Yarrowia lipolytica: one gene and its partner. The protein of the gene in region 2 interacts with the protein of the main gene of each other region in a pairwise test. Links are inferred from orthologs where the notes say so. Each region holds a gene or a part of one and is shown on either strand. Other genes may lie near its edges. The genes, in order: YALI1_E28170g and YALI1_E38056g.

Region 1 (15,151 bases), about 990 kb from region 2:
ATTCGACAGAAGTGGGTGATCGGAGAGGCTACGATCCAGGCTTGGTCTGACAGCTGTTGAGCGACTGCTGGTGCTCGTACATTGCCGGAATCGAGGACGTGATTGGGCTGGGCACTAAGCAGACATGGAAAAGGTGTCAATGAAGACACTTCTGTCATAACTAAGATCTTTTTCATACACCGCGACCGAGAGCTGGATCTGTCCTTCGAGCACTCGACTACGTGAACATGCACTCATCCACTGGCCAGCAGCAGCTCCCATTTACCGTCTGCGAGACAATCGTCTACAATATTTGGAGATTGTCCTGGGGACTGGTAGACCTGGAAGCAGATGGTACTTAACTGGGAGCCACTTTCCGTTGTGTGTTTCATTCCACACTGCCTACATATCCACAGTTCCTGCTCTATCCTACATCTCCAACTGTGTTTCATTATTCCCTGAGACCTGGTTGTAGAGGAGAATTGGAATCGGATCAACCCCTTTGCAAGAGACGGGTCGTACGCGATTCTCCTGAAGTCTAGCAAGATCAAGTCCATTGGATCCCAACCCTTCGGCCCATATGGTCCCCGTGGTCAATCAGGTGAAGCTCATCACCGCCGCCAGAGGATCTGATGAATGCACATATATCTTCTACAAACGAGATGAACTACGCTTTTACTTTACTGTCGCGCATTACCCGTCTCTGGTGGCCATGATACAAGTTCTTGTCAGACCAGTCTTCACGTCTATCCAGTAATTCTGCACCCCTGGTACGAAAAGATCACTTACTCTTCTCAACTACTCGTATCCAGCTAGCACACCATATCTACGAGGGCTGAGTAAAATTATAGTATGTACTGTTCTCATACTTTACTCATGGAATTGTTCAACATATCTAGTGGTCAAAAGATTCACAGGTTGGCCCATCGGACGCCATAAGGAAGCCAGGGCTTGTAAATGTTGTACCAGCGAATGTTGTCGCCGGAGCCGTAGGACTGCCAAATGCCTGGAACCCCGTTGACCTCGGTGCATCCCCAGGGTTCCCGATCGCCGGTGCACACTTGTTCATTGTCTCGTTTGTTGAGGGAGTCGACAGGAGCAGCCGCTGCCAGACAGGCAAGGAGAGAGACGGTGATGGTAGAGAGTTTCATGGTGAATTGGTAACTGTTAGTTGGTAATGGTGAGTTGATAAATCTGCTGCTGAATCTGCTGCTGGACTGATGATGATTCGGCACTTCCCCTGAACTACTTATACCCCGAATGAGACTCGGGTCTGAACCTCATCCCGGACTTGAGAGGTTCATGGGGCTCTGCGACCGCTTCATCAGGTCATTCAATTGGTTTGAGGACCCCGAAGTTTCCCAAACAGGCACTTTTTGATTCACCATTGTCTCCCAATGGTATCCACATCGGGTAATATCTCACCATGAGGTAGAAACGGGCACCCTGTAGAGGACCAGGGCAATTGACATTGTATCTCGCAAGTAGAGCGTTTCGCCGACAGATATTCCGACTAATTGCCCCAATTTCTTGCTGGAGAAACAACTAAATCAACTAGTGGACTTTCTGGTGGGTTTTCTTCAAGAAATTGTGTCACATTACGTCCCATGAAACGTCCTTTGGGTAGTACAAGTTCATTGGCGTCGTTCTTGGGAACTTCCAGTCCGCAAGAATATGAGATTTAACACTCAAATGAGCCTCTCATCATTCCATGAGGCTCAAACAGGTCTTTCATAACTCATGCACAAAACAGGTACTTGTACTTTTCAACAGGCACTTTTTAATAGGCACTTGTACGGTATCTGGAATAGGAAAATCTCAAGAAAGACAATCAATGAGGCTGATGACTCTAGATAGAATCGACCCACGTAGTAATGGGGCGTTATAGTCACGTGACGTCCGCTTTATAACCACGTGACCTGAGCACATTCATTTTTTTCACACAAACATTGTGTTAATCCTCGTTGCTCCTCTCCCTGTGCGACAATCAATCCAACTTCACCGGAAATCACTCTACGGTTCAGAATTTTGATTCATATGAATCTTACGCTCACTTATCTTCCCCGTAATATCCATTTACCCCCCAATGGCACCCCGTTATTGACCAAATCGTCGCGGGTTTTGGATCACATTTTCCCCGATTTATACTCCCAACGCCGCTTTAAACTTGTAATCCCGCCTGGTTGGCTCAGTTGGTTAGAGCGTTAGTCTCATAATCTGAAGATCACCAGTTCGACCCTGGTACCGGGCAGATTATTTTTTCCGCCCCAGAAACAACAAGCGTGATTTTTTTGCTCAGAGTCGACACAATCGTAGGTGGTAAAAATGACTGTATTTTTCCCCTTCTCGGCCCCCCACAATATAGCCCTCATTTCGGCCCCCGCTTTCCCCCGAGAATACCTCCAGGGTTAGGGATTCCCAATGGAGGTGAAAACTTTGGTGCGATATGTGGGATCATTCAGGCCCGGCTGAGATCTGCTGGAAAAGACAACCTACCTCGACAGCTGCGGTTTGCCTACGGCTGGAGAATTCGCACGAGCTTTTTACGGACCATGCTTAGGGTGAAGAAAGGAAGGGCAACGTACCTTCCGAAGCTGGGGTACAAGCCTCCGCTGCCTGACGACGATCCGTTATGGAGCGGAGGTGACACCCGGAGCTCCCTGAGCCTCTACGACCATCTCGACTGTCCGAGCAGTCTGTGGCAGGATGACCACAAGCGGTTTGTGGCGTATAAGGGCCAGTGGTCGTTTTTGGATGGAGGGCGGACTCGCAAGGCTGGCAACGATGTGCGGTATGGACGAGAGACGGTGAACCGGCTGAAAAGTGCCGCTATGAACCAGGAGGGGCTTTCTGCGGGCCAGCAGCGGCGCAAAATGGTGAATCTCATGGCGCTGGGCGTGCGTTTGGCTGCCCGCAAGGCCATGCCCATCAAGTATGTGGACTGTGCTCCCCAGACGGAAGACTCGCTCAATGCAGATCACGCGCTGCTGGGCCAGGCGTTTGGAGCCATCGAAAGCGCATTGCACGTGGACATGAACGGCGACATGCTTGGGGCGCCTCCCCAGGACTGCAAGTATCTCATGACGCGGCGGATCTGGCGGATTCTGGGCAAGACTACCCTGGCCCCAGCACTCATGGGCTACATCGTGAGCTCGCTCAGAAACACAAAGGCGCACCCGCAACTGGTGATTGATCTCTACAGCATTTTCGCCCAGACCCAGTACGTCTACGACCTGCCGATTGGCAACGCATGGGGCTACCAGCTGAACCTGGACCGATTTTTCCGCTACGCCTCGCACCACGTGTGTCCGTCGCCCAAGCCCTCGGACCAGGAGCTGGCGCACCTGTGCTCGCTCTTTTCCAAATACAACCACGAGACGGGTCTGCCTCCAAACGTGCCGTTTTCGAGCCGGATCGAAAACCAACTGCCTCCAAACTGGCTCCATGTGTTTCTGCAGATCCTCAGAGACAGACAGTACCCCTGCGACGGCCGAACCTTCTCCAAACTCGCTCTACAAGTGTCAAAGGTGTCGCCCTCGGCACGCCAGGACCTCGTCGACTACCATCTGCAGCAATCGCAACGCTGGTGGTACCAGGACGAAAGCATCTTCTCGCTCATGTATCTAATGTGCAACCGAGGCGATGCCGAGGCGTCCATCGAGGTCATGAACTCGTCCAAGTTTGCCGACCGGTTGCTGGATGAGAAAACGCGCATGGGCGCCTTCCGCATGCTGCTCTACCGCGCAGTCAAGTTTGAAGGCATGCGAGACGGAGTGTCCGTGTTCCAAACAATGAAGGAAAAGGGCTGTGCTCCGGACCTGCAATGCTACGGGCTGTTGATCCACGGCTACAAGGAGCGTGGCTACTACGAGGAGGCCATCACCCACACCATGGACGTGGCGGCCCAAAGCTACATCCCCACCGAGATTGCCACAGACTACTTTGAGGCGGTGGCCAAGAGCAAGGACCTCAAGGAGACGCTGGCGGTCTACTGTCAGCTGTACACGCCGCATTCGCTCATGGAGCTGGGCATCTTTGCCTTTGTTCTGCGGGGCAGCGCCCACAACTCCATTCCGCTGGACGTTGCGCTGGGCGAGCTGCCGCAACTGGAGCCCCGAAAGGCCGGGTTCCGCGTCTACAAGTCCGACGTGGCCTCGTTGCATATCCTTTACCGCGCAATACTGGACCAGGCCGACCAGGTGGAGCTGGTGCGCGATCTGTACGAAAAGTACCGAGACCATGTAGCGGTTCAGCTGAGTAAGGGAGACCGGATGCCGGCGCGGTGGAAGTGGCTGCTCAGCGACATGGGGTTTGCGCTCATGTCTTCCTTCGTCTCGTCGGTTCTGCGCTGCACCGGCGACATTTCGCAATGTCTGTGGCTTGTCAGAGACTTTGTCGACGTGGCCAAGGTGAACATGTTTGCCCCCGAGGTGTTCAACACGCTGGTGACGGCGTCGTGTTACAGCGGGCGGTTCGATCTGGCCGAAGAGGCACTCCGACTGGCCATGACCATCAACACGCCCACCAACAAGGTGGTTTTCATCCCTCTGGACGCCCACATTCGCGCCGGACGGCTGGAAAAGGCCCGCGTCTTCTGGAACATTGCCGTCGACAACAACGACGTCTACTCGTACCTGGAGCACGTGGCGCTACTGCTGCCGATAGCCGACGAGCATGGCTGGAATGTGCCCCAAAAGCTGCGCGTCGCCGTGGACAAGTTCCTCGACGCCCAGGAGGCCAAAAAGGAGGCCAAGGCCGCCGGATACGCCAAAGACGACACAGCAGAGCTCGAGCTGCTACAGACGGAATCCAACGACGAAATCGCATCCCACGTCGGACTGGACCGGGACCCGGAGACGGAGACGGAGACGGACAACCAACCGATCCGCTCGGCCAGATAGCACCGACATTTTTCTGTATATATGCATGTGATAGGAAGGAGGAAAAAGGAATAGTATGACGACAATACATTATGATTATTACCAAGATGTGTACTTCTCGGGTTAGGCCCGTGTGGTGTGTACCCGTATGGTCGTGCAAGACCATTCATATAATACATTAATACTGTTACAAAGGGCTTTTGAAGGATCAGTCATGGGCAATCCAACCCAGTCTCCATCTATCCAACCCAGTCTCCACCCACCTCACAGATTCTTGGTGCCGACAATGGGATCAATCTCGTACACCAAGGCAACATCTGTACTGGTGGTTCCACTCCAGCCTCGGTCTCCACTGGAGGTGACCATGTATCGACAACTAGGATCGACCTTGATGGACGACAGAATACCGCCCTGATGTCCCGGCACAATCCAGAACGGCACAGCCTGCTGCTTGGAGCTCTGCACGTCGTACAGCCGAACATTGTCGTGAGAGCCGCACAACACGTGTCGGTTATTGGGCATGGCAGCCACGGTGCTCACGGCACCTGACACGGACGGGAACTTGAACACCTTAGATGGCTCGTGCACATTGCCTCGCAGCGAAAACTCCTCCACCGTGCTGTTTCGTCGACCAACGTAGATGCGGTCTCCGTCGGTCGACCAGCATGCACTCATACACCACGGCGGGGTGCCTTGAGGCACCGCAATTCGTGTGATTCGCTGCTGCTGCCGTCTATCCCAAATGTCTACTGTTCCATCAATGGCCGACGTGAGAAATATGGACTCCGAGGTAGTGTTGCGGGTCGGCTCTTCGCTGCCATCACCATCACCTGGCTTGACACTTTCGCTGGCCTCCTTATCTGCTGCCACGTCCACCTCCTCCTTTTTCACCTCGGACTCGCCCTCCTCCTCCTCGTCCGACCCGAACAACGACCCCATGCTTTTGTCGTCGTCTTCCTCCTCGTCTCCCTCGAGAATCTCTTTGCCCCGGGCCGTTCTGTCACTATCCAGCCCCTCTAGACCCAGATTTCGAGACACTATTGCGCCTCCGACTGGCTGATACTGCACGGTGCTGACCTGGCCAGAAATGCCGTCAAACGTCCGAACCACATTGCCCGTGTCCAAATCCCACTCGTTGACGGTCTTGTCCCACGATCCAGACAAGAGTCTGTTCTCCCACTGGTTGAGAACCAGCACCGATACCGTAGACGTATGTTTCTCGAGGTACGCCTGGATCTGGCCCTCGTTGTGTCGTACGCTCATCAGCGTGATTCCTCCACTCTGCAAACCCGAAAGCAGCCACAGACACCGCGAATGCGCCGCCAGCGAGTACACGCACGACAGCTTGGGCTCGTAGAGCCCATCCTTAGGCTTGATGTCTGTTTCATAAACGGGCTGTTCGTTTTCCCAGTACGACGTCAGAACGCCAGCCTTGGTCACACAGTCCACAAACGGATGCCGTTGGGCTACCGTCAGGGGCAGCTTGCCGTTGACGGACGCAAAAAAATCGTACTTGCGCACAAAGCCGTCCTGGCCACCGGTAAACATCCACTTTAGCTCCCACGACAGATCTATCGCATGCACGGGACAGCTGTGGATCGCCGCCACGTATGGCACAATGTCGTAGCCCTCGCACGAGTCTGTGTTGGTACAGAGCGGAATGTTTCTGCGGCCGGTGTACTTGAGCACATGTTCGGGAATGTCGCTGGAGCCACTGTCATCAAAGACAATGTGCGATCCGTTCGACGTCGACGCCGCCATGTGGCCGTTTGACTTGGACCTCGTCACCACCTCCTCGTCCTCCTCTTCCTCGACCTCTTCGTCTTCTGCCTCCTCGTCTCCATCGCCCATCACCACATCCTCCGTGTCGTCCATCTCCATGTTGTTTTCCAGCGCGTCTTCAAACAAATCGTCCTCGTTCTCATGCTGCTGGTCGTCCTCCTCCTCGTCCTCCTCCTCCAGCTGGTTCAGCGCCTTGTCGTCGAGAAAGTCGTCTTTGGACATTTGCGTGTCGTGCAAACTGGCAGTGTCCTGGAAGTATCGTACTTAGCTCCGCATGTTGCAACCGCCAAAGTTAAACGGGAGTGCACAGCGGGACAGAGGGGGACACGAGGGGGCATTTATATTCACAATGGGGCCACAGAGAGTGACACAAACACAAAGGTGAGAGTATTGTCATTTCTTCAGTAATTTCATCAGTCTTACGAAAAAGGAACTACTTTTAAAACGAGCATGAGAACGGCAGTATGTATCGAAACCCACTTAACTAAGATCTAATATTAGTCAACTAAACTAGAGAACCATTAGTTAAAAGAGAAGGAAAGGTGAGTGTAAAAATTAATATAAAAAATATATATAAAAAATAAAAAAAGAATAAAAAAGAACTGAGTAAGTACGAGTAGAAGAACAAGTACAAAATGTCAGTACTCGTACAAATAATTCAGTACTTGAGATCTATTCTATCCATCTATGAAAATTATCGGGTTCGAAAACCACCTGGTTTCATATTCCTGACAGCTGGGTATACAACTCAGTTACCAAGTATTGTAAGTACTGTAGGTAGTACACACTCCATTCAACCCACATTCTCCTCCAGTTCAAGCACTTTGGTTCTTCTGCCGTGCACTGATGACTTAAAGACCCTCTTTTCGTCGTTTAGATGCAACTTTTCGACGTTTTCGACTTTCTCCTAGTCCAGTCTTGACTGTAGACGCTCCTCGCTCCTCGCTCCTCGTTCCTAATCAAACAAAAACAACCGTTCAGACACCTCTTTCACCACCAGATCCATGCCTGCGTCCAAATTGTACCCCGTGTACGCACTGCAGCCCATTATGGTGGTGTTGTGGCCCTCGGGGATCTGGTCGAGGTCCAGATGGCCGCTGATGCGTTCAACGGTCTTGTCCCGCTGATCTGGGTCCACCAGATCCAGCTTGTTGATCCAGATGAGCACTCCGGCTCCAACCAGTCGGTCCTCGTTGAGAATCGCTTGCAGCTCTTTGCGGCAATCGTGGAGTCGGTCGGTGGCACTGGCGTCTACCACCCAGATCATGAAGTCCGTCTTCTCAAAGTAGTTTCTCCAGAAAGGTCGCAGAGTCTTTTGGCCGCCAATGTCCCAGATGTTGAGCTTGTACTGGCCCCTTGTCACCGTGCGGATGTTGAAGCCCAGCGTCGGAGACACCTCGTTCACGTCCTCGTTGAGAATCTTCTTGACTATCGTCGTCTTGCCCGAGTTGTCCAGACCACTGTGTTAGTACTGTTCCCTCTCACACCCAGACACGTCGCTTCCTCTCACTCACAGCATGAGCACACGGATCTCCTTATCCTTGAGCTTTTGTTTCTTGATGATCGTGAGTAGCCCCATTTGTCATGTCGCCAGGAAGAGGAGTTGTGGTGGAGCACATGACAACTGCACAGGAGAGGTTGGTGACAAGTGAAGAGATCAAATTGGGCGATTGAGTCGAAGGACTATGGTTGGAGTGTTAGATGCGCCAAAGGAGGGTGGTAAAGCGATGAGTAGAAAGAAGAAGAAAAAAGAGGGGGAAAAAAAAAACAGGGGAAACACACCCCTTGCCGCGACGCACTTGCCGCACTCCCACTCTCTCTAAGTAGAACATCAACATAACAAGTCAAAGTAACACATAACAGCACATGAACGCCATCTAAACCACCCGTTCCTGGTACCAAAATGATCCTCTGTATCTGAGGAATCCATTTCTTTTATTCTTTAGTCGCCTGTGAGAATAATGGGCAAGTTACAGTCGAATCTATATTACGCTTACAAAGTACTGGATGAACCGCAGAGTGTGTGAACATGTATCACAATATCTCTTCTGTCTACCAAATTCGCCAATCTCCTTTCCCCAATCGACAAAACCTCAATATCAGCCAACCTCAATATCCAACTCACCCCGCTATATAATGTATCATATTAAGGTTTATGCATACTGCACCAAGCATGCATACGCGGTCTCAATATATACCTCATCTCATATATAATTACGGCATATCGACCCAGCTATGACGGGATGGATATATTTGCACCAGGCGTTGCGGCTGCTTACGCCGTATCCGCAGGCCGTTCTCAACAACAAACGGTCGTCGGTGGCTGGCTTTTCGCTCGACTACGGACTCTGGGCGTTCGTGGGGGCGGTGTGTCATTTCGTCTTCACCCTCACATACATCAACAGCGATCTGGTCCATCGGCAGTTTGTGCAGAGATACCCGTTAGCGTTTGATATGCCCAGCGCGTCCGGGGTGATTGCCCTAATTGACTTGAACGAGTCATTGGTGTGGGGCGTGTGTGCTGTGCAGGCGTGGTATTCATACAGACACACCCAGACCAATGCGCAGTCGTGGTCTCTGGAATGCAAGGTGATTATGGGTCTTTTTTTCGGCGTGCTTGTGTTCCTGCTGATGGCGGTCAAGTCCCATCCCTTTGCAAAGGTGCCCTCGCCTCCTGGAGTCGGCTATCTGGGTATCAAGTTCATTGACGTGGTGGACTGGCTTGGAATCATCGGAGACTTCAGCGTCTACGCCCGTTACGTGCCGCAGGTGTCGTGCAACTGGACGGTGCAGAGCTGTGTGGGCTCGTCGTTTTTGCTCATTGTGCTGGATCTGGCGGGCGCGTTTTTCGGGATTCTCGACGTTCTGGGCGCCAAAAAGGCCAAGCCCACCAAGGAGAGAAACCGAAACAAAGTCGTGCGGGCCGTGCGTCCCTCGGGTCTCTTTTGGGCATGCTGGTTCCGCTTTTTCTGGGATCTCGTTCTGCTCTACCAGCAGGTGAAATACAAGGGATGTCGTCCTCTGGTCAAGAGGAAGTACGTGAAGCCCGTGGACGTGGAAGTGATGGGAGAAGAAGACGACAGCGATGAGGGCCATCGACTGTTGCGTTCGGGCGAGGTGGAACTGAGAGACATGGCGTGACCGTGAGGATAGAAAATCGTGATACACTGCATTTACATATTTAATGATTATGACATGAGAGGGTAGAGAGAGTGGACACTGCAAATCTCAAAGAGCACTGTAGTCGTTGTATTCGGACCCACGCCAGACACACTTGTCAACTAAACATTCAAGTAAAGTATCAGCTTGAAATCACATAACTGTGTCGAATGGGCGAGTTTGTAACAGAAATATCATGTCAATAGTATATATCGGAGACTGTGTGACACTGCTCTACAGTTTTATACGCTTTTTTCTCTACGAAAGCAACTGGAGCACCAGACAGAAACCCATCACAACTTCTTCTTTCAACTAAAAGTCAACTAAAAAAGACCATGCTATATGTCTCGGTTGCGGGCTTCCAGACACCATGAGAGAGATACAAGTGTCAAGAGCGAAGAATCTGAGACAGCTGTTTCGGTTGTGTCTTCTCACGTGATCTTACATTGCTTACTAATCCAGTACCAATAATAACCACTCTGTTGGCTGTGTATACTAAATCATGTCAATATATCCGAGTATATATAGAGAGGAGGTGTCTACTGAAACAAGTAATGATAGTAGAGATATTCAAAAGACAGAATTAATACATACGTAGACCCCAGGATAACCAAAAACCGTGCTCTTCATCAACATATTAACAATTCTAAAAGTGCATACAAGAATGAACACAACCTGGAATCGAACCCACGGGACCCGACACCACTCTCCAGACTACTGCATGGGTTGAAGAAAGGATGGGGATTGAAGAATGAGGTGATTATTGGTGTTGTTCGACCGACTTATGTGTAAACGAGGACAAGATTCCTTCCTACAACCACTTATATCGCTCCTAACTCCGATTCGGCTCCGACAGTATACTCTTGTCTCACGGTTGTTGCAGTTTCTCCCGTTTAGGTTGACTCTCTGTTAACCCGTACCCTGAAAAATCTATCTCCAGTTGACGCATCACCATACGAGCCCTCACTGACCGTATAACAGCACACACAACCATGCTGTGGAAGAAGATGTTTGGCAAAAGCGTGGCGCCGGCCTCCCGGCTGGTTGCCCTGCGGCCGTTCCACTCTACCGCCGCGCGATCCAACGACTGGTTCGGCAGCATGACAGAAAACAAGGAGTCCATCAAGCAGGATCTGGACAAGGCGACGGCAAACAAGAGATCCAAGGAGGTCGAGCAGAACGCCGACGAGACCAAGGGCAAGCTGCCATCGTTCAAAAACGACACCAAGCTGCAGGAGTACATTGCCGAGCAAAAGGGCGAGGCGGAGGTGGGTATTGCAAAGTACGGCACCGCCCTCAAGCAGCGGCTGTGGGACGCCTACCAGAGCCAGCACAAGGGCTACGACAAGACCAAAAAGGTGTCTGTCGACGGCCGGGAGTACCAGATGGTGCTGTCGCCCAACGAGATCAAGGCGTTCGAGCCCTCTGTCTACTGCAAGTCGTACCGAATCGACGGCACCTGGAAGAAGGCCCAGCTGCTGCTGCGAATGCTGCGTAAGATGAACGTGCGTGAGGCCATCACTCAGTGCCAGTTTTCTGCCAAGCGAATGGGCCGACCCGTTGCTGAGCTGCTCCAGCGAGGAGTCAGCGCCGCCAAGGACATGAACATTGACCCCGAGACTCTGTACATTGACGAGATCTGGGTCGGCTCGGACCCCCGAAAGTTCCGGTTCGTGGACCCGAAGGGCCGAGGACGAGCCGGCATGAAACACGCCGAGTACATCCACATCCGGGCTATTCTGCGAACCCCCGTGACCCAGCAGCGAGAGGCCCGTGACAAGGAGTACAAGCGCCTGGCCAAGAAGCCCGTGTTCCAGCACGAGACCCGAAAGGTGGGAGATGGGTACCTCAAGTCTGACTACCGATGGTAATGTATATAGCTAGGGCGAGTGACGAGCATAGCGCGTTGCTCGAACGAAATGAACAAAATGAGTAACCGATGAGCGAATAGCGTGCGAAACGAGTTGTTAGTTCTTAACGAGTAAGCCACCGAAGAATGAGTAACAGAAGTAGCAGCAACGGGGTAGCAGCTGGAACATATCAGGTGACGAGATCGCTTCCATGAAACAGGTGAAGATGATCTAAGAGCTCAGAGGAACGAGTACTGTATGTACCAGTTGATATGTAAATGACGAAGGGCTGTGCTTAGACAGTAGAATACACTAATCATCTGTCGAACATAATCTCGGAGAAGAGGTGTTGGTCATACGTCTGCACTTGCACCTACTTGTCAGGACATTTATATGAATGGAACAGTGTGATCTGGAGTTCTGACTATTAACATCTAGAAGTACGAGTATATATGTACTGTTCCAAGATACACCTTCCGAACGACTCCAACTTGTCGGGTGGTCGTTGGTACTCCATCATGAAGTGTTGCGGCAGGTTGGGCTACAGTCCAATTGTACCGACCATCTTCCTCCAAGTGCCGTCCCTCGGTCTGTGCAACTTATAAGTCTAATGAATTCATGCTATTTACTCGTCATCGAAGCCAGTGAGCTGCTCTCGAGCACGCTGGGGGACTCGGTTAGTATAGTAAAAATGGGGTGCAGTGGAGGCTGACGGTATGAGCCGATGACCGCAGGGCCTGCGACTCAGACCGTAGAAGCTCAGTAGTCTGGTCAGTTGATCTAGTCGACTGCAGTCTGATTCGGTTGATTGAGGTAGTCATGGTGGCTTGGGATCAGCTCGTCCAGTTACCAGACAGACCAATCACAGAACAATCACAGAAAATCACAGACAATCACAGACAATCCACAGACAATCCACAGACAATCACAAGACAAATCACAGACAATCACAAACATCACAGACCAATCACAGACTATCACAGACCATCAGACAGACTGGCAGTTTTGTCAACCACCGACGTCCATTGCAACGCAACAACTCTTAATAATACTCACGAGGATATGATTGGGGAAGGGGGCTGTGATCGGGGTAAAGGTACTTTCTTCGTAGAGGAGTCAGTGTGAGCGCGGCGACAGGGCCGGCGATTCCAATGGCGAAGGCGAAGAAGAGATGGGGTCGGTTATGAGCAGACCATCGAAGGTACTGGGTTGTGTTAGTGGGGCTCAGACGGAGTCAGTCTCTACATAGTCTGCAGACATCTCGGTGACGTGGCACAAACGAAAGACCCGAGAGTGAATCAGCTGTTCATTCCATTCATATGGTCGTTCCATTCATACGGTCATTCGTTCCACCCACCACGTCTCTTTGGTGTTGGGGTCACCTTGTGTCGATTGACATAGCCATTTCTGGGTGTGTTTACGGCCAGGCCGCGGCGTTTTGTGCTCTCGAAACCCGCTGCGCGATACTCACTCGAAAGGGGCCGTTCCAGAAGCCGGGGTTAGCGTTGATCATTGTCGAGTGTCCGTTTGTGTCTCGTTTCCCTGATATTGGATTTTGGGCGACAAATGCACAGTGGTGGTTTTGGCTTTTAGTTACCCTCGTCGTGATTGGCCCGTGGGCTGGATCTGCTTAGTAAGCTGGGAGGAAAAATTCAGGTGAATTTACGGGAATTGAATGGTTAAATAGGAGGAATAAATGGGGAAATACGAAGCGAATTAATGAGCAGGGAGACAGAGAAAAGTCCTCAATAAAAATAAAAAACAAGAAAAATAGTAAAATAAGATAAAACAAATAAAAATATAAATATAAACAAATAAATAAAATAAACACCTACCAAACTCCCTACCGCCTCAACATCACATGACGTCCAAGTCACATGTCCACATGTGGGGTAAGTTTCAAGATGAGCACAACTTGTAGCCCGAAAAGTAGACGATTTGTACAAGTAGATATATCCCGAAAACATCTAATCATTCTCTAACTGATTAGTAAACATAGACACCAACAACTACCCTACAGGCACCCACCGTACACAACGAGTTCCCTCTTCTCATATATCGTACATTGTATATACAATCACACTGTAATTACGAGTCTAAGATGCAACAGTCAGTTCAGTGTGGTCCTCGTCCCCTTGTGCGCCACAAAAGAGTCTGAAGCTGGTCCAACTTCCCCTCCCCGGCCCGATTGACTCTCACGTGACCTCTTTTTCTGCTTTATGCTCCTCTTTTCCAACACTTGCACGTGTCGGTCCTGTCTTAGTTGCACTGTGTGGTCTCTCTCTGTGCCTGTTTGACTCTGGCTGATAAGCTAAGCTGCATAGTGTCCACGGTCGCATCTCTCAAGCCGGTCTAAGAACTTTGTCAACTGCACCAACACATTCGAAAACAGTACAAGAAGGACTGGACGACAGCAACGGACTTCTCTCAGCAACTCTTCTCGGCGCGCCTATGGAATACATCAAGATTTCCAAGGTCTCTGACGTGGCGCTTTTCCGCAGAGGCAAGTCCTCCCGGGGGACTTTGCACCTCACCACCCACCACATGATCTTCCAGCTAGAAGGCTCCAATCCGCACGAGCAGGCCGATCGGGTGGCCGGCGGGGTCTCGACGGCGTCCGATGACGTGGCAGCTCTGGACCTGAACAAGGCCGGCGAAAACGGACACAGACAAGACACAAATGGCGACACAGATGGCGACACAAATGGCGATACAAATGGCGACACAAAAGGCAACACTAGCAACAACAACAGAAACGATAGTAATGGGAATGGCGGACACAAAGCCGACAGCGGGAGAGGTGGAAACAGCGACAAAAATGATAGCAAGAATGATAGCAAGAATGACAGCAAGAATGACAGCAAGACAGTCAGCAACATTCCAGTTACACCCTCGGAAATCTGGATCTCGTATCCAATCATCTCGTCTGTGGAAAAAAAGAACGGCGTGATCCGAATCCGCTGCAGAGACTTCACCTACCTGGCTCTGCACTTCCATAACGAGCCTGAGGCCAAGGACGTGTTCGACAGCATCCAGAAGCTGTGCTGCCTGCCATCGGTCGAGCGGCTCTATGCATTCTACTACAAGCCCGGCAAGTCCGAGCGACGCTTCAACGGCTGGGCGGCCTTCAACCCCCAACAGGAGTTTGGCCGCCAGGGCGCCTTTGCCAAAAACAAGTGGCGAATGACCTCGCTCAACGAAAACTACGCCCTGTGCGCCACCTACCCGCAGCAGCTCTCGGTACCCGCCTCGGTGTCCGACAATGTGCTCAACTACGCTGCTCGGTTCAGGTCAAAAAACAGACTTCCAGTCTTGTCCTTCCACAACAGCTTCAACGGATGCACCATTGCACGGTGCTCGCAGCCGCTTGTGGGTCTCAAGAAGAACCGATCGCCTCAGGATGAGAAGGTGGTGGCGGAGATTTTCGGAACCACCGTCAATTCCGAGTACGAGACGCCGCGAGACAATCTCATCGTGGACGCCCGGCCCGTGGCCAACGCC
Region 2 (16,770 bases):
TCTTTGCTTCTTCGGGAGTCGTCAACAGTCCATGCGACGCATGATGAGGGCAAGGGAAGGCGATAAAAATGTGACAAGAGCCGAGGATAGTATTGCGGCGGTGATTGAGCCGATAAAACATGGGTTTCATCTCAAGTAACGAGAGTTGTCACTGGCGTGGTGTATTCTATGGTTGGCTCTTTGACATCTCCGGACATTTCCAAATAGGAGTCTCGCACAGCTAATCAGCACTTAACCTCACATGGAAAACAAACAACGGGGCTGAAGCTGTCATCAGTTTTGCTCTACGTCATCAGTCGCTGCAGCTTGAGCACCGATGCGTCTTGGCTGTAGACAGATGACTGCCGGAGGATGGAGGGATCGGAGACATATATCCGGGAAATTGGTCCATATTGTGCACATTATCAGATTGCTGCTTGCATGGTGATCTCCATCAAGTACTACAGTACAAGTACACGTGTGGTTAGGGTGTTGAAGACATGCTTTGAAGGCTCTACCCTTCACATGTCGGAGTGCAGAATAGAAACATTGCGTGCGTGAAATAACAATTGTCGTATTTGTAATAACCTGACGCCGTATAATACTATTTAGCTGGTACAATTGATACTGAATGCTCGCTCAAGGTTCTGAACTGACCTCTTATTCACTACAAGTGTTTGTATCTTCCAAATATCTCTCGTTATAGAGCTCCATACACCCCCTGTTATTTTAGCTACTGCTTGTACACGGAGATATGCGAAAAAAGTCAGATGCAGCAGAATCCAAAGACGACATACAATAGGCTTGTACTGTGAGTCCTATCCGAGTGCATATTCTGCGGTCATGGTGATTGACGGAGTCCGACAGACACGGTCACAGTGATTCGTATTGTGGCACTCGCTCTATGGCACTCGTGACTCGTGATCGCTATACGGTGTGAGGATACGTCCCGAGAAACTACAATGTAGCCCTCTGCCACGAGATCTTTTTCCGAAGTTCAGAACGATTCGTGCTGTTCACTCGCAGTTCTCACAATAATGTCAATATCTATTGGTATGCCTATATAACCCGTCCCTAGTCCCTCACAATGCCCCCATTTCCATCCTACACAACCTGAGGAGTGTCCAGGAAGTCCATCTCATTCAGAGCGTAGTCTAGCAGATAGCTCTCGTCGTACATCTCATCGACCCGGTTAAAGTGTCGCTCCGAGTAAGGAATGAGAGCGTCTGTCATGGTGGAAATCTTGGGCACCTGGCTGAGCTTGTCAACCGAGTGGTTAACCAGAATGCAGTTCATGACCCGCTGAGCCACCACCGACGATCGAGCATTCGTGTTCCAGTCTCGGACTCGCTTGATCAGAAGCTCCAGTTGCTCGACATTGAGTCCAGCAATCACATTGTCGACCTTAGTCAGACCCATGATGGAGTCCTCGTCCTGGCGATCAGCAAGCACGTCTCGGAACAGACAGAAAAGCTTGTAGGGCTGGTTCAGAGTCAGAGCAAGCAGAATAGCATTCTCCCAGTCCTTGGACCGCACGTAGTTTGCCAGCTGCTGCTCCTGCTCCACCTGAAGCTCGGCAGCAGCCTTCTTGGCAGCCTTCTCCTCGTCGGAGATATCCTTCCACACAGTAATGGTTCCCTCTCCGTCTCCAGAGACCATCTGGGCACCGTCATCGGAGCCTCGAACAGCCAGAGACCACACCTTGTCTTCATGGTTGTCCAAAGTGACAGCACATTCTCCAGAGGCATAAGTCCATACCTTGATGAGTCCGTCTCCTCCAGAGGAGACAATCTGGGAGCCCAGAGAAGTCCACACGGTTCGCAGAACCGAGTTGGTATGGCCTTCAAATGTTCGCAGGCACGAAAAGTCGTTCAGAGACCACACCTTGACGGTCTTGTCTCCCGATCCAGTTACAATCTGTTTCTCGTAGGGGTTGAACTTGATAGACCAGACGCCTCGCTTGTGTCCTCGCAGCACTCCCACAGCCTCACCCGAGTTCATGTCCCACACCTTTGCAGTTCTGTCCTGAGAAGCCGTAGCAAACAGTCTATCGTTAGGAGACACGTCCAGAGCATTGATATCCTTCTCGTGGGCCTTTCGGGTGTACTCGGCCTTCGCAGTACCGTCCTTGGCAATGTTCCACTTCTTGATGGTCAGATCTTGCGAGCCGGTAATGAGGAACTGAGGAGGTCGACCCTCAAGAGGAAGTCTAGGAAGAGCAACACCTCCCACAGAACCAGCATGACCGGTGCAGACAGCAAAGCAGGTCAGAGTGGGCACGTGCCAGATTCTAGCCTCGTGATCCTTTCCAGAGGAAGCCAGCCAGGTACCGTCAAACGATCGGTCCACGGCAATGACGTTATCTCTATGTCCAGTCAGAACGTTGGTTTCGATTCCTCCAACGGTCTGGATTCGAATGTCGGGCGCGTTGGTGACCACCGCCAGCTTGGACTCGTCTTCGCCAACATAAGTCATATCGATGATCTGATCATGGAAACCCACAATACGTCGCACCTCCTTTAGGTCGTCGTCCAGCTCCACAAAAGTCTGGTCTGACAGCACAGACACAAGCTTGTCGGTCTTATACAGAATGTCCACCACTCCCACTCGCTCGTTTTCCTTGTTGTGCACTGCAGGCTGGACCTGGGCAGCAATCAGAGCAGAAGTCTGACCGTTCCAGATCTTCACAACTCCCATCTCGCCACCAGTATAGATTCGAAGACCCTCGCCATTCAGGATACCGGCTGTCTCGATACTCTCACCCACGGGGATGGTTCGCACCAGCTTGAACTTGTTGGCGTCCCACACGTTGACGATCTTGTCTCGGCCTCCAGACACAAGAATGCCACCGTCGGAGCTCCAGGACAGACCTCGAATGACCGAGTTATGCGAATCCAGCACCTTGAGACACTTTCGGCTCACGAGATCCCAAACTCGGATCTTGCAGTCGTCCGCTCCGGACGCCAGGCGCCACACTGAGCCGCCCTGTTCGCCGAAAAACTTCAATGCAGAAACCACTCCTCCATGGCCCTTGAGATTGTGAGTCACAAATCCCCGCTCCAGATCCCACACCTTGACGGTTCCCTCGGCTCCTCCGGTCGCCACCAGACTCGATGAGCTGTCGATAGCCATGACAATCACTGGGGCGTCATGGGCCCGGGCTGATCGAACCAGTTCTCCACTGGGGATTCGGTATGTGCGCATTGTCAGAGATCGGGAGCATGTGACGAGGTATTGGGCATCGGGACTTATTTCCAGAGTCGTCAGAATCTCACTATCGCCCTCGATTCGGCAGATTTCCTCTCCAGTTTTGATGTTGGTCACCACCACGTCCTCTCCAAAAGAGGTGGCCAGGGTGTACCCGTCGTCGGCGAGAGAGGTCTTGCCACCGGTGTAGAAAGGCTCCACGGATACGGCTTCGAACGCAGTCTTTTCCGTCGTTTCCATCTTGTCTTTTGGTAGTATAGCAGATGTGTTTCGTGCAGTTGGATTTCAGCACACCAATTTTTTCCAATCTTGCATGTTGCAAACGTTAATTAATTTTTCCAGAACCATGTATGTAAGAGGAGGAAGTACGAGTAGCCTCTCTTAGTGGCATTGATCTGGAGTCAGACCAAAATGACAGCCTTGGAGCAGTCACTTTGAGCAGTTATTGGATTATTAAGACTCCCAGTTCCAATTTGTGACCATTTTTGATGGTCCTTCCACTTTTTTTTTTTTTTTTTCTGCATATACATTACATATACCATACTTCACCTAAGCTAACTAATACCACCTAAATTACTTACCCTCACCACCCCACCTCAACCCAGATCATAATAGAAACTGAACGATTGATTTACTGATCCAATGGCTCGTGTATTGCCGGCAGTATACCTTTTGTGACTGTATCGTCAAACTCTTGGCTTGCATTCTCCATCTACTGTATTTGTACTTATACAAGTATCACTTTTCCTTGTATTCAGTGCATATGCCCCCTATTTGGCTGTCATACGAGCTACAAAACACACATTCCCCCATTTATTACGAGTACAAGTACAAGTACGATACGAAGACACAACTATCACATAGAACGCCGTCTACAAATACGCCATTCAAGATAACTCCAGATCTTGTCGGTCACGTGGTCACGATCCGTCCTCATGTACAGTATGTACGATACCGCCAGTACTTGGCACACTGTTTGCAAATCTTCCTGCTACCCACCCGAGAGCTTCTTCAGAACACGTCACGTGACACGGAGTTTCCAACCTCCCCCCCACCCGCCGAGCCGTTGCACTGTATTACGCAAATCTCCCACACTGCACGCACAATATCGTGCAGTAACGTTCGACACGAAAGAAACAGGCATGTATGATTTTTCAAACGAGGAATACGAAGGTGGAACTTTAAGCGAAACGCCGGTGTGAAAAAACATGCGCTAACTATGAAGGCAATGGAGACAACTGGGAGAGACCAGACAAGGGGTTAAGACGTGTTTTTCTTTTGGAAGTGGAGTGAATGGAGTTGGTCACGTGTACACACACACACACACACACATACACAATCCACACAACCCAAGTCTGAATTCGTGGTGGGATCGAGTTGCAACAAAAGGTGGTGCGGATGCACGGACGGTCACCTCCACACGCCATGTCATGTCATCCCATCTCGCTCAGGTCGTATGTCTAAGGTTCTTCATGCAAGTGATTTGGGCAAAGCCTATTGTGTTTGTATATATAGACGCGACTGGGGGGCACGCATTACAACTAGCTATCACCGACAGTACGAACCGCCACAATGAAATTCGTCGGTCTGATTTCCCTGCTGCTGGTGGGTCTGTACATGGTCACCAACTGGCTCTTTATCAACGTGCTCCCACACAGATACATCTTCGACAAGGATGAGCTCATGACCATGGTCAACCAGACTCTGGAGCGAAACCCCGACGGAAACTCGACCGCCATTCTGACCGATCTGGGCGCCTCTCTGCACGACCGATATGGCAAGTTCATCAACGAGCTCAACTTTGACGAGTGGGTCTTCAACAACGCCGGAGGAGCCATGGGATCCATGTTTGTGCTCCATGCCTCTGTCACCGAGTACCTCATCTTCTTTGGCACTGCTGTCGGCACCGAGGGCCACACCGGAGTGCATTACGCCGATGACCACTTCATGATGCTCACCAAGTACCAGATGGCCCACACTGCCGGCGAGCTGGAGCCTGAGGTGTACTACCCCGGCTCTTCTCACCACCTCAAGCGAGGTGTTGCTAAGCAGTACCACATGCCCGGCGGTGCCTGGGCTCTTGAGCTTGCTCAGGGATGGATCCCCGCCATGCTTCCCTTCGGCTTCCTCGACACTCTGTCCTCTACCATGGACATCGAGACTCTGTGGAAGACCGTCAAGATCTCGGCCGTTAACATGGTTCGAAACGCTCTTTGGGGTAAGATCTAAGGAGGGCATCGAGACAAAAGGACAACCACAAGAGCGGGTAAAAGCATGGAATGTTGGAATGTTCAAACAAAAGAACTACCTTCTATGGCCCGTTCCATCAACAGTCCATAGATACGTACATAAGTTATAGTTAATTATTCTTACAGTTTTTCAGTGATGAGTGGATAGGTGCGGTTCGTTAGTATGACGTACTTGTACTCGTAGTCAAGCATGAGTGAGTAGTCCATAGGCTGTCAGTCATCTTCGTAGCTCCCCTCTAACACCTGAGCCCGAGCAAAACCCCTGGAGATCATACTCTTTACATCATCATGCAAAGTAACATGATCTGCCATGTCAAACAGATGTCGGTAATACTGCTGAGACAAGGGAAGATGGTACGAGACCAACGGACCAGGAAGCTTCAGATGATCAAACGGATCAGAAGAAGTGCAGGGCATAGAGGCATCTTCGAAGCGAGCAGAATTGTGGGGAGGCGGTTTGAACAGCAGAATCGAAACCAATCTTCTTCCAAACGACCTTTTCGCTCGCAAGTTGCGTGAATGGGTCGCAATCAGCCCGTTTATCGTTTCAATGTGGGATGCAAGATGCTCCATAAGTAGCTCCTTTTCATATGTAGGTCTCAGCACCTTAGTGGTATATTCACTCTGGAAATCCCGGTATCCACCCATGACGATCAGACCCTTGGTGACCTGTCTGATGAACGGCTCTTCATGTTCGAAATGCGTGTACATGGATCTTCTGTTTGTGTGTGAGTAGCTGGAGGGTCGTTCCGAATGATCCATGGGGGAATGCCGTTTGAAGCTAGCTCTCCGGGCAGAAACAGGAGCTCTGGATGAAGTCATGGGGTCGAGGATTGATTGGTAGTCTCTGTAGTTATCGGTAGGTCCAGGAACGTGTCTTGTACCAGTGAAAATATCAAGATCACTGCTTATAGCAATGTCCAAGTCTGGGGATCTGCGAATAGTCGAAGAATTGTTTGATTGCTGAGAAACGTTGAATTGTCGATTGTGGGCCATTGCCGGATTAATAAAGACGCTGCTCACCAAGAGTCGTCACACCTCCTTATATATATCAAGCTGACACTCATATTGTACTTGCCTTGTCCGTGTATTGGGAAGGTCACATTATGTCTGCGGAATTGTCTTCGGTGCCTGACTCGTAATTAAGTGAAAGACACCAATGAGTAATAACTGTACAGTACAATTACGACGGACGAGCACACACAATCGTTCATATCATTGTTTCATGTCAGCTACACTTCTCCTCAGTAGCTCTTACAACTTACGAGTTAGTGTCGTTTCCCCCAAACTAACTCATAATCTGTCGTCATCCCCTCCGACGCCAAATACCCTCCCAACAGCATACTAACTTCTTGCCCTCACGTCCATCACCCAGATCCATCTCTCCCCTCCGGTGCGCGAGTTTAAGGTTGGCACTCCACTTATACTGCATCTCCAACACCACATCTCACCATCACATTCTCCGATTGGGAAAAAAGCCGATCAGCACCGTCTCGGCCTTTTAGACATTGAACGACAACATGACGTCGCTGAACGTGTGGGCCTCCGGGCGATCACGTGATCTGCTTGCCGTCGCCCGCGAAATTGAAGCCAAGGATCTCTGGCGCGGCTTTCTCACCATCCAGGAACACCAGGTCGTGCAAAAAGTGCTGGAGAACGACGCCATGTGGGACAACCTGGTCGAGGGCAAACTGTCGATATTTGTCGACAATCCGTTGCCGGATCCCCCGCTGGGATTCAGGCAGGAACAGGAAAACGCCGCCAACAACAATCTGGATGGAGCACGTCCCGAAACCCCGACTCCAAGTACACCCGTGGTGAGCACATCGTCCTCCTCAACGCATCTGCATCTGAAGCATCTGCAGATGAATCAGCCGTCGCCGACTCCGTCGAATGAAGGCTTTCAGAAGACCGTGTCGCTGGACTGTGTCGCGTTGGCCTTCAAGGTGCGGCACATGATTTTCGACAAGTCTGTGCCGCTGCTATACCCCAACATCAAGGGAGGGGACCTGGAGGTGGACATTGAAGACATCCTGGCAGAACGCAAAAAGGAAGAGACTCCTGCCCAGATCAAGGCTGCTCCTGTACGAGAGGAGGAAGATGACTACGATTTTGATGACGAAGATGAGGGTCCCAAAACAGACGGAAACAACAACAAGGACCAGCATACGGACGGTAGCAGTGTAGCACTAGTGGACTCGGTATCGGTCGAAGACCGACCAGCGACCTCCGACGATATCCAAAAACGAGACTCGGCTCTGTTGGCCCGGATATGGCAACGGTACCATCTGTTTGAAAATGACAGCGAGGCCATGGACTCGTATCTGGCCGAGGAGGGAAGCCAGGAGTCGGAGAACACAGGGGAAACAAACACACAGGAGGAGCCGACCAAGGCGAATTTTGGAGCCGCAAATCTGTCTCTAAAGGTGAGCATCTTCATTACTAACGACCTTCCTATTATTTATACTAACACAGAACCTCTTGGCCACAATTGAGTCCAAGCGAGACAAGTTGTCTCTCACAGACACCCAGCTGCGTAAGCTGATTCTGGACGTGCGCAAAAACCGATCCAAGTGGGCCAACGAAGAACGTGTAGGCCAGGAGGATCTTTATGAAGCTGCAGAGAAGGTGGTTCTCGAGCTACGAGGCTACACAGAGCACTCAACTGCATTTCTCAACAAGGTCAACAAGCGGGACGCGCCCAACTACTTCAGTGTCATCAAGGAGCCCATGGATCTCAACACGGTCATGAAGAAGCTCAAGAACCTCCAATACGACAGCAAGAAGGACTTTGTCAACGACCTAATGCTCATCTGGCAAAACTGCTTGACCTACAACACTAATCCCAAGCACTTTTTGCGAGCCCATGCTATTGCCATGCAGAAGAAGACGTTGACGCTCATTCCTCTCATCCCCGACATCACCATCAAGACACGGGCCGAGGCAGACGCAGAGGAGGCCGCGCAGGCTCAGGAGGCCAAGGAAGAGGAGGAAAAAGAGCAGGGAGGTGCCAAGGCTCGAACAGGAATGTCTATTGGCAAAACTGTTGGGAAGGGCCAGAAAGGAGGAAAAGGCCAGAAGGGAGGCCGAAAGCGGAAGATTGAGGAGGTGGATGAGGATGCTAAAGACGCCGACGACTCTGACATCAAGGTTGAAGATGTGTCTATGGACGTCGATGTTGATGGTAACAACAAGACTTCGGATGATATTAAGCCGGATACCAACAACAACGATATCAAGACCGAGACCAAGGAAGCCACCGAAGAGCCCGAGTCGGCGAACGTGTCTGCCTTGGTCCCCGCTGGCCATACTGGTGCCAAGGAACTGACTGCTTCTGCTGAGAATAATGATTATGGGGTTGGTGGTGATTCCGATGACGATTCGGACAATGATCTCGAGGAGCAGTTCTGGACTGAGTACACTGGCCGCAAACGGACGCTCATTTCCGTGCAGCGGTCGCGGCTGTTTAAGGACAACAAGATACAGGCAGACGCAGACGCTACTGTCATTTCCAAATCAAAGGGGTTCCGTGACTTCCTTTCAGCCGAAGCAGCAGTGCGAGGAGTCGGTCCCCACATGGAGTTTGAGGAATTCCAGGAGGACTTGCTGGAGGAGGCAGCAGAGGTGAATGATAGTACACAGCCCAAGGCTGATGCTCCATTAAACATTCCCCGACGGCCGTTTTTACTTGAGTACGACCCCCAGGCCGGCCTTCCTGAGCTCCCCTGGGCCATTTCATGCGACAACCCCGACGAAGGAATTGACGACACTTGGAGCCATGTTGATATTGAGTGCCTCAAGAACACTCCTTCTCGATACGTTGCCCCTGCGAAGGGTCTAGTCAGCAAGATTGACCACAACTTGAACGAGATGCAAAAGATTCGAAAGATTTGCTCCAAAATTTCTATCATCCGACAAATGCAGCAGCAGTATCTGCATTCGTCGCAGATAAAGGCCTACAATCCGCCTAAGATCACCGATTTTGATGTGGATATCGAGTCTCGTCTTCCTAATAGAGATGAGTACGATAAAGAGGTGTGTGAGGCTTCTCTGAAACGAGCGGCTTCTCGAATTGCTATGCACTCTGGTTTTGAGTCGACCGAGTCGTTTGCCATCAACGCACTCACAGAGATTGCGGGCGACTTTCTATCCAACCTGGGACGTTCAATGGTGGCCTACACTCAGCATTTCAAGAACACAAACACCAGCAAGGAGACGATTCTGAAGGAGACTCTGGAGGAATCGGGCGCGGGGTCTATCGAGGGGCTGTCTGCGTACATCCGAGATGACGTTGAGCGTCACGGCCATAAGTTGGTGGATCTCAAGAACAACCTGGGGTCTTTCTTGGGCGATCTGCTGCGACCTGGAGGTGGTCAGGGAGAGATGACAGACCAGCAGTTCAAGGACAACTCCGAGCAATTTGTTAATGGAGACTTTTCCGAGGCGATTGGCGACGATTTCTTTGGTTTCAAGGAACTCGGTCTCGATAAGGAGCTCGGTCTTCTTACTTCCACCGTTCCTCTGCATCTTCTGCAGGGCAGACTCAACGGAGCTTTCAATAGAGACAATGTGGAAAGTGTGGGTACTGTGGAGGAGCTGGAGGCCCCCGAATACGATCCTATTGACCGAGAATCTGCTGACTCTCAGATTGGTCTGATTCGCCCCTTCCTTCATGGCAAGCTTGAAGTTGCCGACGTCATTCCTGAGGGCGAACAGGTGCCTGTCAAGCAGCGAAATGTGCGATCCAAGCTGCCGCCTAGTGGAAAGATCCCTGGTCCCAAGAAGCGGCCCGCCAGCAAAATGTTCTGGCGAAAGCCCAGTGATAACGAAGTGTTTGCCTAGGAAGCAAACATGTATAATTGTCTGGCGTATGTAATATGTCAGCGTGTAAATTATGTATTGATAGATTATTGTGATAGGAGTAAGGAGTAGGAGCGTAGCGCGTGTTTTAAATGTGGTATAAACGAGGACTCTGCTATAGCCGGCCAATTGTATTTCTTATCATGCATGAATTAGTATATGAGTATTTGAACTCTAGTCGCTCAGACCATAGTCTTCGTAATCGTCATCGTCATCTTCTTTATCTGCGAGATCCTTCATGGCAGACTTGACGCCCTCAAAGTCGGCAACCTCGAAACCCTCAATCTTGAACTCGCCATCCTCAAAGTACATGGTGACAATCAGATCTTCATCTTCGTCCTCCTCGGCCTTATCTGGCATCTGTTTAGATTCTGCCTCAGCTGTGGAGAGTGTTTGAGTCCGGAAGAAGGTCTGTGTTGAAGTGACAGTGTCAGTTCCATCATCTTCAGCTGAGTCCACAGCTTTTTCCTCCACCGAGGCCTCCACTTGCTTTTTGGCCTCTTCCCTCTTAGTCGAGGCAGCTTCCTTCTTCTTGGCCAGCTTCTTGGACTGCTTGGCCTCCTTGTTAAGCTGCTTCATAACTTCATCAGTAGCTCTGGCAAGGACATCCTCGATCCCAGCGTCATCTAACATAGTAAGACCCTGGATCTCCAGGTTTGACATGTCGCCCTGTTCCTGCCACCATGCATACTTCTCTTCGAGAGTCACATCATCATCGTTAATGCTGAGCAGCAGCTGCTGACGAGTGATCATGAGACGCACCTCAAAGTGGCGGTTGATGGGAGCAGGAACAAACATGGATCTGGTCTGGATGATGAAAGGAGCATCATGAGAAGGAGTGGCAATGCCAAGCTCCTTGAACAGTGTCTGTCTATTGACGCAGTCGCCGAGCCAGACTCCAATGTAGTTGAGAGCTCGAGCTTTGGTGAATCTCCATGCAACCTCAATCTCGTCAATCTTGTCCTTGTTGACATTGGATCCGACAAACTGGTGGGCACGAGCCGAGACAGCCTCCTGCTCCTCCTTCACGTGAGCAACGCCGTCAAACATGCCGTCAATGGTCTCAAACTCGGGGGCCTCAGACTCGACGCTGTAGCACATGATGGGCAAAGACTCATCTGGAGGAGGCTGAAACCTCATGTCTTTACAGAGGCGCGGGGTGCCGACCTGCATGACGTAGTTGCACGTTCGCTTCTCCTTGATCCACAGTATATGGTCATGCTGGACGTTTTTGTCACATACAAACTGAACCTCGATTTCTCGGTTGGCGCCGGTCAGAGGACAATGGGTTCCCGAACGGAGTCTATGGGCCAGAAAGGGGATTCCTCCGGCACTGGTGACCGTGTTGGTCGTATCGTCCTTCTCGAAGCTACCGAGCACGAACGTGGGCGAATCGTCTGCCTGAGGAGGAGGATAGATTCGAGGGAAGTAATTGTCTCCATGTCTTCGATACTGAACGACTCCCGAGCCGTAACAGAAACGATACGAGAAGAATCCCTGTTCGTAGAAGAGACAGTCACCCAGAAGAGGCAACATGAGCTCCAAAGCTCTGTCTCGGGCCTCTGTTGGCGACAGTTCTCCCTCCTCTCGTGATTTTGAGCTCTTCGTGGTCGTGACTTCCGGAATACCGCAGATGTGGTTTGTGCCGTTGAATTGCATCATCTCGTACCCCAGGGGATGGCCATATACCGGATCTCGATGCGGTAGCAGGCCGTTCTGGACATCTGCTTGTCGCAATGGTCGGTTGTGGAACTGTACTGTGAATTGTGGGTCGGCAAAGAGATCGTCTCCTATGTTGAAGGTTGCTGCGAGCGACGAGCTTGCTATCAATGCCAGGGACTTTAACAACATGGCATGTGGCGAACTTGTGAGCTGGTGGTGGTGATTTCAATGTTAGTTACAGCTGTACTTGAACAGCACACGTCATGTCAGTTCAGCATGAATTAAGCGCAGTGGGAGATGCTGTTAGGCATTCAATAAGTGTCATAGGAGAATTTTTAATAAATATAATAAAATCACAGTAAATCGTTAGTCTGAACGAATTATTATATTTATATTTTCGTTTTTTACTCTTAAATCACTATTACAGCAATAAGCCGCCTCGTACACTCACCCCATCTCCATTACTGTATGTACGCTCATGTACCGAAATTGAGTTCATTCTAAGTATATGATTGGCTTAGTAAGCTTAACATGTTCAAGAAAAAATATGGAAGGTACAAGTACTTATATAGAGAAAACTACTTGGCCAAGGACACACTTTTGAATAATGACACAGAAAAAATCTATTGCTTTGAAACGACCTCAGCTGATCTGTCATTATTAGTACTTATAGCACCACCTGAATCACTGTCACTCCATCCCTACACTCTCTCCTCCCAATGTGCATGTTTTAACTCTGAAAAATTCCACAGGTCAATATCACATCTTCACACACAGCAGCCATGATTAGATCGACTGTTCGGCTGGCGCCACGAGGAGCAAGATTTATCACCAACAACAGTGGCTCTGCCGAGACTCTGCGGGTGGCCGACGAGAAGCTGGCCCAGATTCTCACCGGCGGCTCCACGTCCGGAGCACACACCTCCATCAAGGATCTGAACAAGCGAGCTCTGTACAAGAGTCCCCCTGGTCTGGATGCAATCTTCCCCGCTGCTCTGAAGATTGTCGAGGAGAAGAGCGCTGCCATCAAGAAGCAGGCCGAGGAGATTGCTAAGGAGTTCGAGGCTTCTGGAGACAAGGCTCTCAAGGACCAGTACATCAAGCTCATGGGCAAGGCCGAGGTCCACAACCCCCAGGTGATGATGAACCACGTGAACGGCAATGTCGATATGAATCACCCCGTCTACCGACATCTTGCCGAGGCCGACTACAAGAAGTACGAGCAGATTCTGCTGGTCGAGAGTCTAGAGACCATGCATGTCATTCCCGACACCATGCCCGTGATTGACGCCAAGGCTCGAGTTCGAGTCAACTTCCCCGGCAACGAGAAGGGCAAGTGGATCACTCCCGGAACACTGCAATCCACCGAGCTCACCTCCGAGCTGCCCATCGTCGAGATCCAGGAATTCGAGGACATCCCCAAGGACGCCAAGTACACAGTCCTGCTGGTTGATCCCGACTACCCCGTCCCTGAGACCGAGTCCTTTGGTACCAAGGTCCACTGGGCCGTGTCCAACGTGCCCATTTCCGTCGATCAGCCTCTTGTGAAGCCCGAGCTCGGAGACACTCTGGTCAAGTATGTGCCCTCCACCCCCGAGAAGAACTCTGGAGACCACCGAATGTCTCTGTGGGTGTTCCGACAGGACGGTGACGTCAAGGACTCTCTTTCGCATTCCGACTTCTTCGACATCCGGGGCTTTGCCGACAAGCATAAGCTGACCTCTGTGGGCGCTTTCTTCTGGCGAAACCGGTTCGACATGTTTGCCGAGAGCCTGCGGGAGAAGTTTGGCCTTGGAAGCGGCCGAGTGTTTGGAATGTCCAGAACTGGCGAGGACGTTCCCCGATAAGTGTATATAGTCAGAATCAGAACAAGCACCTCGTGCTTGTATTCGTAATGTGAAGAGTTACATCAACATGTCTATATTGTAAGATAACCATGGAAAGATCAGATCTAAAGGGTGGCTTAAATCAATTGAACATGGAGAACTTTTTTCGTATCTGGTATTCAAGGCTCCATCTACCATTTGTACTTGTAGTACGTCATACTGTGTCCAACTACACTCAACTACAACCCACATTCAAGTCACATACATAAATCAAATTGAAGGGAGCTGCGCAAGGCGTGCCACCAAAGAGGGAAAAGAACCGCTGGTAAGCCACTTCGCCTCATAACCTGTCCAAATGGTCAATTAATTACATGCTCGTCGAGCTTTTCGATGCATAAATAATACGCTTAGGCCTTCTCGGGGAAAGCGTGGTTGAGGTAGGCTTCAATGTCGAACTTGTCGTCAGAGATATCGGTAACAACACCGGTGGAGGCGACGGGGGCGGGGTGGAGTCGGGCCCACTCGGCCTTGGCCTGCTCAATGAGCTTCTCCTGCTTCTTGAACTTGGCATCAGCCACCTTCTTCTCAGCCTGGGAGTAGAGGGTTCGGTTGTGAACGAAGCCGTAGACGACACCGGCACCGAGGGCGGACCATCGCAGAACGTTGAGAGTGGCAGACATCTTTTCGGTTGTGTAATGTATGAGGTATTGGACCTTCAGTATGTGTGGTGGTGGTGTGTTCCGACTGCAGAGGTAAAATATGACAATGCGCCGTTGGCCAATGGGAGCACAAATATAAGTAGGGTAACTAACTCTATTGATCCTCGTGTTGTTATCAAACAAGGAGGCTGGTTAAGTAGTTAGTGGGGGAATGGTGACCAAAGATGAACTCCGATGGTGGTTTTGTTGCCAATTCGTTTTTCCAACAATTTCAGAGTTTTTTTTCCTCCCTATATCTGCTTCATGGCCTCCACCCCAGCTGGCCTTCATTAATCTCCTGTGTACATGCGAGGTTCGAACTGACTCCTTCTCTCAAATGCCTCTTTAGTTCACACAGTGTTCAAATCTTTAAGTGCACATTTTTTTTCGGTGACAGCTTTCCACTGAGTGAAAGTCTAATCCAAAATGAACGTGTCCCAACATGCATGCTGTCAATGCTACACAATCGACACTTTGATATCTCGACAGCTCCTATACCAACATGCTTCTAATCGCCCTGCTGCCCTCAATTGTTGCCGCCACATCCATTCTGGCCCGGCCTGCCGACGGATCAGCCGTCGTGACTCTCGGAACCATTGATCTCGACACCCCCTCCTTCACATCCACCTCGGACTTTGCCGGCGAGGCTTGCATCGGCCTGAACGTCGCAGGCGACTTTGTGTGCCACGTTCTGGCGCAGATCGAGGCCGACAAGGGCAAGGAGTTCACAATCGAGGCCAAGGACGGCGTCATCACCAAAATCAACTTCAAAAAGGGCCTTCCTGCCGCCGAAGACACGGTCACTATTACCACAGCCCAGGCAGCTCCCGAAGCAGCCATCAAGGAGCCCGTGCAGCTGGTCAACAACGAGATTCTCAAGGACGAGCCCGAAAAGACCTTCATTCAGAAGTACTGGATGTATATTGTGCCCATTCTGCTGCTGCTGTTGCTGGGCGGAGGTGCTCCCGAGGAGGGAAAGTAAACCCATGAGCCAAACGTATGACACACCGTTGTTGTTTCCTAGCTATCAGAGGTGTCCCATGGCTTGTCAATACCAGAGCCTACGTACATCTTCGTTTTGATACGCCATAACTAGAGACATCTCTCGCCAACCTCGTCCTTTAATGCTACTGGAGAGGTACCGTCACTCTTTCTGTCAAAGGAAAGCCACTCTTGCATCCCCATGCCATAAACTGAGTACTAGTACTACAAGTGTAGCTCATGGCAACTAATATAGACATTATGATTATCTATGAACGTGGAAGTGGAGTTGTACCGGCTTATACATTCTGGGGGTTGGTTGGACTCTGGAGACAGTACAAGTAGCAGTCTTCCACAAGTACAGGAATACTGTAGAGTGCTACAAGTACCTGTACGGTAATTGCACGATACTTGGCTATACAAGACGAAGTACTCTCAGTATGTACTGTGAATAGTAGCTCGATACGAGTATCGTACATACTAGACAGAGATTTACATGCCATGGGAGTTGTCAGCAGGCACATGCACTTACACTGATAATGCTTCAGTCACTCTCATTCAGTTCAGTGATCCACCTCGGTACAGACAGTAGTGCTGTAGCTACGATCAGAGCGAGGTTGATACATGTAGATGCGCTCATACAATGTGAAGATCACAGTACATACGATACATAACTGTATCTGGTGGAAAACACACGAGTCACACCAATGACCAGACTCTACTCGTACTATAATGACCCTCTTTCCTGGACATCCTCACACGGAGAACTAGCGAATGTATTCTATAGCCCCTGTTGATGCTATACTCACTTATACCCGTAACTATAGTCAACTACCTCCTAAGTTCAACGGTATCACCACCTCTTCTATCGTACGCATAGTCAGAAACCAAATTGAAAACGGGCTTCAGTATCTTTCACCTCTGTGATGATAATGAGACGGAATTTGCACAATGAGGACCTCTCGAAATATGCACTGTTCTCTTTGTATGAAGCACCCTCCTGCAGCGAGCCTCATCTCTCACACAAGGTGACGTTTGGCCTCATTTGGCCCGTGGTTGTAGCATATAAGGGTGTGGGGAGTCCCGACGAACATATCACTACTATATCAGTACATACAGTAAGGCTTACACACACAATGACGACTCCAACATACCATTACTGTGCAAGCTGCAACACGCAGATCCTGGCGGATCAATACATTGCACATAAGTCCAAGTGTGTGATTGAAGAGTACAGACGAGAGAAGGCCAAGAGGCTGCAGAACGGGGGCGTGAAACCGGTCAAATGAGAGATAGACGGAGTTCGCA

The links.
Region 1: the proteins of YALI1_E38056g (region 2) and YALI1_E28170g interact in binary tests that used the Saccharomyces cerevisiae proteins (3 or more experiments, as listed by UniProt). The link is inferred for Yarrowia lipolytica from reciprocal best matches to the Saccharomyces cerevisiae genes SPT7 and SPT8.

Annotation. Positions count from the first base shown.
Region 1 is NC_090774.1:2,808,708-2,823,858, reverse strand, and holds YALI1_E28170g (uncharacterized protein), read right to left. Parts: upstream 6,864-15,151; coding exon 5,124-6,863; downstream 1-5,123. Other genes in the region: YALI1_E28224g (uncharacterized protein), read right to left, coding at 891-1,143, 1,405-1,451; YALI1_E28213g (uncharacterized protein), read left to right, coding at 2,532-4,880; YALI1_E28156g (uncharacterized protein), read right to left, coding at 7,597-8,101, 8,156-8,220; YALI1_E28150g (uncharacterized protein), read left to right, coding at 8,877-9,782; YALI1_E28130g (mitochondrial 54S ribosomal protein uL22m), read left to right, coding at 10,793-11,671; YALI1_E28107g (uncharacterized protein), read right to left, coding at 12,276-12,322, 12,707-12,854, 13,122-13,163; YALI1_E28097g (uncharacterized protein), read left to right, coding at 14,102-15,151. UniProt on the Saccharomyces cerevisiae protein: Component of the transcription coactivator SAGA complex. SAGA acts as a general cofactor required for essentially all RNA polymerase II transcription. At the promoters, SAGA is required for transcription pre-initiation complex (PIC) recruitment.
Region 2 is NC_090774.1:3,798,620-3,815,389, forward strand, and holds YALI1_E38056g (uncharacterized protein), read left to right. Parts: upstream 1-6,955; coding exon 6,956-7,861; intron 7,862-7,910; coding exon 7,911-10,277; downstream 10,278-16,770. Other genes in the region: YALI1_E38020g (uncharacterized protein), read right to left, coding at 1,084-3,426; YALI1_E38034g (uncharacterized protein), read left to right, coding at 4,759-5,415; YALI1_E38050g (uncharacterized protein), read right to left, coding at 5,649-6,431; YALI1_E38107g (uncharacterized protein), read right to left, coding at 10,470-12,146; YALI1_E38113g (mitochondrial 54S ribosomal protein mL38), read left to right, coding at 12,740-13,804; YALI1_E38131g (uncharacterized protein), read right to left, coding at 14,191-14,463; YALI1_E38136g (uncharacterized protein), read left to right, coding at 14,984-15,463; YALI1_E38142g (uncharacterized protein), read left to right, coding at 15,606-15,693. UniProt on the Saccharomyces cerevisiae protein: Component of the transcription coactivator SAGA complex. SAGA acts as a general cofactor required for essentially all RNA polymerase II transcription. At the promoters, SAGA is required for transcription pre-initiation complex (PIC) recruitment.